Linked DNA regions of Mus musculus. The protein of the gene in region 1 purifies or fractionates together with the protein of each later gene. This does not show direct contact. Links are inferred from orthologs where the notes say so. Each region holds a gene or a part of one and is shown on either strand. Other genes may lie near its edges.

Region 1 (3,654 bases):
GAAGTGAAGTAGAATGATTACCTAGGCCCAGAAGTTCCAGACCAGCCACAGTGAGGTTGCTGTATTGGTAAGATCAGAGTCTGTAGGCTCTATAAGGACCAAGATTGACTTTAGCAGCTCAGCAAGGGTCAGGCCCTATTTTCTTCTAATTCTAGGTAGAAGTCTAGTGTCCGAGTCAACCAGGACCTATATTATCTGGCCACTGTCCTAGTCCTACAAGTCCCATGAGGCTGTGGCTACATTTTTTTGCTCTGTAGGTGCTCAGCTGATAGCCCCAAAGCGATGCTGCTCATCTCTCTTTGCACATGGGGTTGGGGAGGAGGTAGAGAAGAGGCTTCATAGATGAGTATATGGCTTTGGAACCCAGACTTGCAAAGGGGTTTGTGAGCAGGCAGCCTGGCGGTTGACCGTAACCAGTCATGCGCACTTGTACTCACTCATTCAGCAGTTATCTGAGCGCCTACTTGGATGAGGCCTGGAGAAGGGAGTCAGGATAAGAGTGGTGTGGGATGTTCAGAGTTGTCATGTCCCAGTATTTGGGTCGCTGCATGGCTATTATACCCTGCAAACTCTCAGCTGGCCTTTTGCTGTCTCCTGACTATTCCTACCTTAACACCTCTCTTTACCCCAGTTTTTGCAACATGCCTGTGAGTGGTAGCATGAGCCATGCAGAGCCTTGTTGGATCGGGTAGGATGGGTTGATTGTAAGTATTGCATATGTGGCAGTAGCCCCTCCTACATAGGTTTGCCCTAGATCACTGATCTGGGTAGCCCAGTGCTTACTTTTCAGGGGATAAACGAAATTAGTTAGTTTATATAACCTGGGTTGACCTCAGATTTACATGTAGCCAAGAATGTCTTTGAACTTCATTCAGATCCTCCTGCTTCTACCTCTTTTTTTTTTTTTTTTTTTTTGAGACAGGGTTTCTCTGTGTAACTCTGGCTATCCTGGAACTCACTTTGTAGATCAGGCTGGCCTTGAACTCAGACATCCTCCTGCCTCTGCCTCCCAAGTGCTGGGATTACAGGCATGAGCCACCACTGCCCGACCTGCTTCTACCTTTTAAGTTTTGAGATTATAGGTAAATGCCACTGTGCCTTATTTTAAGTGGTGCTGGAAATCCAGTTGTTTTATGCATGCTTGGCAGACTCTCTGCAAACTGTGCTACATCCCCGTTGCAGAGAAAAGAAATTTAAACCATGGTCAGTCAGTATTAGAGTCGAATTTGAATTTAGAGCTTTTCAGGATTGAGGAAAATGTAGACATTATAGGTACTGCTATACTAGCCTGATTTCAAAAGCAGTATATTAAAAATGTGATGCATCAGGACATGGTGATATATACCTTTAATCCCAGCTGAGGAGGCAGGAGCAGGTGGGTCTGTGAGTTTGAGGCTGGCCTGGTCTACATCATGTGGGTGCTGGGAACCCAGGTTTAGATCTTCACATTTAAACAAGAAGCATTTTACTGACTGAACCATCCCCCTAGCCTTATTCTGGAATATTTTAAAGTAAATTCCAAACATCCTATTCTTTAATTAAAAAAAAAAATCTCTGTATATGCGTGTGCATGTATAACTATGTGAGTGTCCTTCCTCTGGAGTGATCTACCTTGTTTTTTGATTAAGTCTCTCATTGATTGGCCCAGAGTTGGCCTGACTTAAAGTTACATGATAAGATTATAACCCAACAAAATTAACAGTAATTCTGCCAATGTTAAACAAAACAGATGAGCGTTAGTAGTACACATAAAATGAAGTAGATCTCAGAAGGGAGCACTGGGGCTTGTGGATCTGTATAGTGATGGAGTGCTCAGTGTTGAACTAGCATTGTAAGGGCCTACATTTACTCCCTAGTAATACACACACACACACACACACACACACACACACACGGTTATAAAGAGGAAAAGGAGGAAACTCTAGACCATGAAGAAGGTCTTGGAACTGAGGCTAGCAAGACACTGCTACCGTCAGCAACCAGCTGCCCTTCTGGGACATCACGTAAAATGATGTAACTGAGTGAAAAAGTGGCAGAGACCTGGTCTCTCTCCCTGCCCTAGTCGCTAAGCTGCAGTTGTAGTGAGAGTTGCTCATGAGCCCCAAGCTCTAAATCTGTCCTGTGAAGGTGCAGGGGAAGGCTTCTTGGTCTGAGAAAACCAGCTGTGGGGACTTGATTTTTTTTTTTATTTGGAAGCTGAAGTCAAGGTGATCTGATACCCCAGTGGTGAGTCCTCATTTTATACCTGAGAAAAGCATGGCCAGGAAAAGTGTGGTTCCTAGCAGGCTGGAGGCTGGGCAGAGTCTTTAGGTCTCTATGGTAGCCACCCAGTATTTCTGCTTCTAATTCCTGAACTAATGAGGGTAGCCATATGAAGCTCCTGACAGGCTCTTATTGTGCACTCAGAATTCCTGGATATGCCTTGTATGGGTCTCTTTGTCTTTGCTTGCTTTCTTTGATTTGGAAGTGGTGGTCAATAATGATATGTTTTTCACTGGCAGTTGGTGACCAGCCTTAGCTATGGTGATGTGGTGATTTGAATACAAATAGTGTACCATGAGTCCTGGTCTCAAACCCACACTAATCACTCAGCCAGCTAACTCAGTCTTCCTGAAGTGACCAGGACTGCCTAGAGCATGAGTGTCCCAGATGACTTTGGGATGTATGGGATGGACAACTTTTCCTTCACTGGCATAAATTCCTTTTTAAGTGTGTTGATATATTTAGACAAAATAAGGTAAGTGGTATCCAGCTGGCAGAAAGTACCAAAGATCATCATCGGCTGCTTCAAGCTTCCCAATCTTTCCCAGTCACAGGAATTTCTTTATATTCTGCCATATATCAGTCATAATCTTGAGTAGATTCTGTTCTCCTAGTCAACATAAATTGTCCAAAATTAAAAGATAGCTTGGCCGGGCAGTGGTGGCGCATGCCTTTAATCCCAGCACTTGGGAGGAAGAGGCAGGTGGATTTCTGAGTTCGAGGCCAGCCTGGTCTACAGAGTGAGTTCCAGGACAGCCAGGGCTACACAAGAGAAACCCTGTCTCAAAAACAAAAACAAAAACAAACAAACAAAAAAAGATACCTTGGCAGTTCAATTTAATATTTAATGGAGAATAATACTTATTACCTGCTGTGGTTAATCCAGGAAATATAAATGGGAAAGCTGTGTTGAGAACTTTCTAGAGGTTGCTCTGCATTTTTGCAGTTTGTGTTTTATGAGATGTGTTCTTGGGCCATTTCCATCAGCAACTCATGAGGAGTGCATGAGCTTCTGTCCCTGCCGCCCTCTGGGAAGTCAGCTCCCAGTTCAATCATAGTTAGAGTTTATAGCTGAGAGAAGATGAGGTATTGGCTTGGAAGTTGAGGGAAGTAGGCTGCAGCAATGGACAATCAAGTGCTTTCTGCCTTCCAGGATTGTCTTGAGAATCTTCCCTGGAAGCTTTGCTGGCAAGCAGCCATGGCAAGTAAAGGGCCTTCGGCCTCTGCATCCACTGAGAATTCCAATGCAGGGGGGCCCAGTGGCAGCAGCAATGGCACTGGTGAGAGTGGAGGGCAGGACAGCACCTTTGAGTGCAACATATGCCTGGACACAGCCAAGGATGCTGTCATCAGCCTGTGTGGCCACCTCTTCTGGTGAGTACCCTTCCTGCC
Region 2 (3,654 bases), on another chromosome or scaffold:
TGTGGAAATGTATGTGAGAGAAGATGTTAAGACAAGTACTACAGGTGTGTAGCAGGAAGGGACAGATACACAAATGCACCATAGCACGCGGACAGCCTTCAACGGTGGAAAACTATCTTGCCCCAGAAGCTGCAAGGATGTCCCTGAGAGGAGGCAGTAAAGTTCAGTTTTTATCCTGAAAAGCTAACTTATCAGGAAAGCTATTCTAACTTAGTTTTCCTCTTTTTCTGTCATTTTCTCAAAAGATCTTCAACTTCTCAGAGCCCTTTCTTACAGGAGAGATGGATGGTTTCATGGCATTTGACCTGTGCTCATGAATCCACTAGTCTTTACTCCTTACTTTTAGAAAAACAGACAATGTTCCCTCCCTAACAATGGGTATCAATATGTCTTGCTATGTATTTGGTCAATGATGGGTTGGCCACTACCCTTTTCTGATACTGAATACAACTACTTCTACCACACTAGAACCCATGATATTGAATGCACACCAGAAGCAGTTACTAGGGAAGGGCATGGGCAGTCACCTTGTTTGAGGTGGCGTATTTGTGTGCAGCGTAATACTCGGCATCTGCTTTTGCCTTCTCTCGGGCCAGGAACGCAGCATCTAGCAAATAAAACGGTAACAGCATGTTTGCAATGAAAGAAAATTGCCACTCTATTCCCTCATCTGGGTAAGAGTATCTTTTTTACTGCTTAATATTTCAATTGTTTGCCTCACTGTAAGTTATAAATTTAACAACTTAAAAACTCTCAATCCTCAGAACAGCTCCTTTATAAGGGGAATTAAAGTTCATCACTGTTAACCAACAGCTCCTTTCTAAGTTAACTCATTTTCTGTTCTAAGTAGTTCCCTTGTCCTCCACCTCCCTCCAACTTCCCATCACCTAGAGCCTTACCCTCCACCCAGGAAGGGGTCAGGCAAAACAACTACAGGCCGAATCTAGAAACACAGAGAGATAAGAAAAAGCTATATATAAGCATAGACCATGGTCTAAGAACATCCACATTAGCTAGCATATGCAAGGCCCTGGGTTCAATAATGAACAGATCTACGTGATTACAGAGTTTTAGATTTTTCATTACAACTGGACTGTATCTTTTTCCCAGCTAATTTTTTTTTTTTTTTTTTTTTTTTTTGGTCAAGACAGGGTTTCTCTGTGTAGCCCTGGCTGTCCTGGAACTCACTGTGTAGACCAGGCTGGCCTTGAACTAAGAAATCTGCCTGCCTCTGCCTCCCAAGTGCTGGGATTAAAGGCGTGTGGCCCCAGCTAATTTGTTATTATTGCTGTTGACATGTGACAAACTGGTGGTGGTTCAGTTCATTATTTTGAACATCAAAAAATTATTTGTGTGTTTAATTTATGTGTTTAAATTATGTGTGTATGTGAGAGTAAGAGAAGAAAGACACACAGAGGGGGGAGGGGGAGGGAGAGAAGGAGAGAGAGAGAGATTGTACCCAAGAGACCATCTGGAGCTGTAGTTAGAGGCAGCTGAGTACTGCCTAAGCTAGGTTCTTAGAACTGAACTCAGATTCTCTTCGAGAGCCATACGTGTTCTTAAGTACCGAGCTATCTCCCCTGCCCTTACTGAGCACATGCCTAAAAGCTTTTCATTTCATTTCTTTTTTTTTTTTTTAATGTATGTGGGTATTTTACCAGCCATGTATCTCTGAGCATCATATGTATACAAAAGGGTGTTAGATCCCCTGGGGACTGGAATTAAAGATAGTTATGAACTATCACATGGGTCTGCGGATTGAACCTTGTCCTCTGGAAGAGTAGCCAGTGTTCTTAACCACTGAGCCATCTCTCTAGACACTTATTTTGTTTTAACAAAAGATTTTAAGGAATTCTTATACTTCATCAGAAAATATAGTAAGAGCTAAAAAAGCCTCATTGTAGAAAAGGAAATGAAAGTCACAGACTAAAGTGAGAACTAAATTACATAGGTTTTGTTGTTGTTTGTCTAGAGCATCAGGGTAGTTACTTCCTCCAGACCAGCATGTCCTATGTTTTTCCCCCACAAGACAATCAAGAACTGGTCCTGATGCAGAGAGGCAGTTCAGGACACTCAGAACTTCAGCCTTTCACTGTTGTACCTTCAATCTCAGAAATGCGTTTTTCAGTTTCTTTCTCCATCACTTTCTGTTGAAATCGAATTTTTGCTACTTGTGCAATCTTCTCTGCTTCTATAATAACACAACAAAGAGAAACACACTTAGAATCAGCAGTACAAAGTGCAACATTAATTACATGTGGCTTTATGTCTAACTGCTTCCAAGGTTTTATCTGTTCTGAAACGATTGAGAGGAAGGGAATTCCCTTCTTTCTTTGCTGTTCTAGTTTGGTGCTGTTCTTCTTTGTGGGAGGAAGGTTATAAAAGGTTAGCAGTTTCAGTCTTTCATGAGACTAGAAAACAACGGTTCACAGGCTAGAGGTAAAGACCGGTACAAAAGTGAAGCAGTACAAACTCATGGTGACAAAGGACAATGGCATATAGTGGCAAGGGAAAGGCAGAATTAGGGAAATTAAACAAGAGGACATGTTGTAGGAAACAATGGACATGACCTGGTAGGGATATGCCATGAAGCATAAAAGAAATTACATAGGGATAAAGGAAAAAACAAAACAAAAACCCTACATAGAGAGAGTCTACAGCCAGACAACAAAAGAGGACAACAGGAAGCCTGTGTTTTGAGTGACAGGATCACCAAGAAGATGACATAGGAAAAGAAGGACATGAGTTAGCAATGGAAACAAATGTTCACAGTGAGCACAGAAGCTGCCATACCCAAGTGCACACAGGGAAACTAAACACCTTTAGTGACCATCTGTCCTAACCAAAGCTCCCCAGACCAAACAGGAACGGTTCCAATTACACTTGAAAGTCTATCGACATAATTCTTAAAATAACATCTCAATTTTCCTTTTCAGATGAAGATTATGACAGCTATGGTCTTCTATGGTCACAGGTTTCTCATCTGAAGATTCAACCAAATACAGATGGAAAACACTCAGAACTTTAAAACAAGTGTGTACTGAACATAAAGATTCTTCTTGTCATCACTCCCTGAATGGTGTAGTATAACAACGGTTTCCGTAGAGCTTTCATTTAACAGGGATAAGTAAAGTATATGAGAGAATGCACCTATGTCAGATGAAACACATTCCATTTTCTATAAGGGGCTAAAATACTGTAGACTATGGTATGAAACCCCCCAAAGGCCCCAAAAGATACTTTAGCATATCTTGTCTCTGGCTTCTGGGGAGAAACATAAAATAAGAAAGAAAATTTCTAAACACTTTTATTTTTTTTTCCAGAAGACAGTACCCTTTATAAATTACCCCAGGACTTAATAGAGTGAAATTAATGTGTATTATTCTAGTTTAAAGATAAACTGCGATATACCACTCTCCATTTCATGGGAAGAAACCAATGAACAGCAAGATTTGGATTCCAGACAGAGGAATAGACAAAGGAGAAAATTCCTTTCAGGTATACCCGAAACTGTCATGGTAGACAATTGGTCTGCCTTAGAATGCACAGCAAGTTCATAGCAGGAACTAAACCCTCAAGGGCACAGAGAGAGAGAGAGAGCTGAGGATTTGTATGGTGGCAGCTACGGTGTGACTATTTCACAAGAAAGAGCGG

Evidence for each region. The genes of interacting proteins can lie anywhere in the genome.
Region 2: the proteins of Rnf185 (region 1) and Erlin1 purify together in Homo sapiens (affinity purification with mass spectrometry; 3 studies listed by BioGRID and IntAct, with this or other methods). This does not show direct contact. The link is inferred for Mus musculus from reciprocal best matches to the Homo sapiens genes RNF185 and ERLIN1.

What each region holds. Positions count from the first base shown.
Region 1 is NC_000077.6:3,432,382-3,436,035, reverse strand, and holds part of Rnf185 (E3 ubiquitin-protein ligase RNF185), read left to right. Parts: intron 1-3,415; coding exon of another isoform or gene 3,416-3,460; coding exon 3,461-3,636; intron 3,637-3,654. UniProt on the Homo sapiens protein: E3 ubiquitin-protein ligase that regulates selective mitochondrial autophagy by mediating 'Lys-63'-linked polyubiquitination of BNIP1.
Region 2 is NC_000085.6:44,038,646-44,042,299, forward strand, and holds part of Erlin1 (erlin-1), read right to left. Parts: intron 2,192-3,654; coding exon 2,102-2,191; intron 608-2,101; coding exon 528-607; intron 1-527. UniProt on the Homo sapiens protein: Component of the ERLIN1/ERLIN2 complex which mediates the endoplasmic reticulum-associated degradation (ERAD) of inositol 1,4,5-trisphosphate receptors (IP3Rs).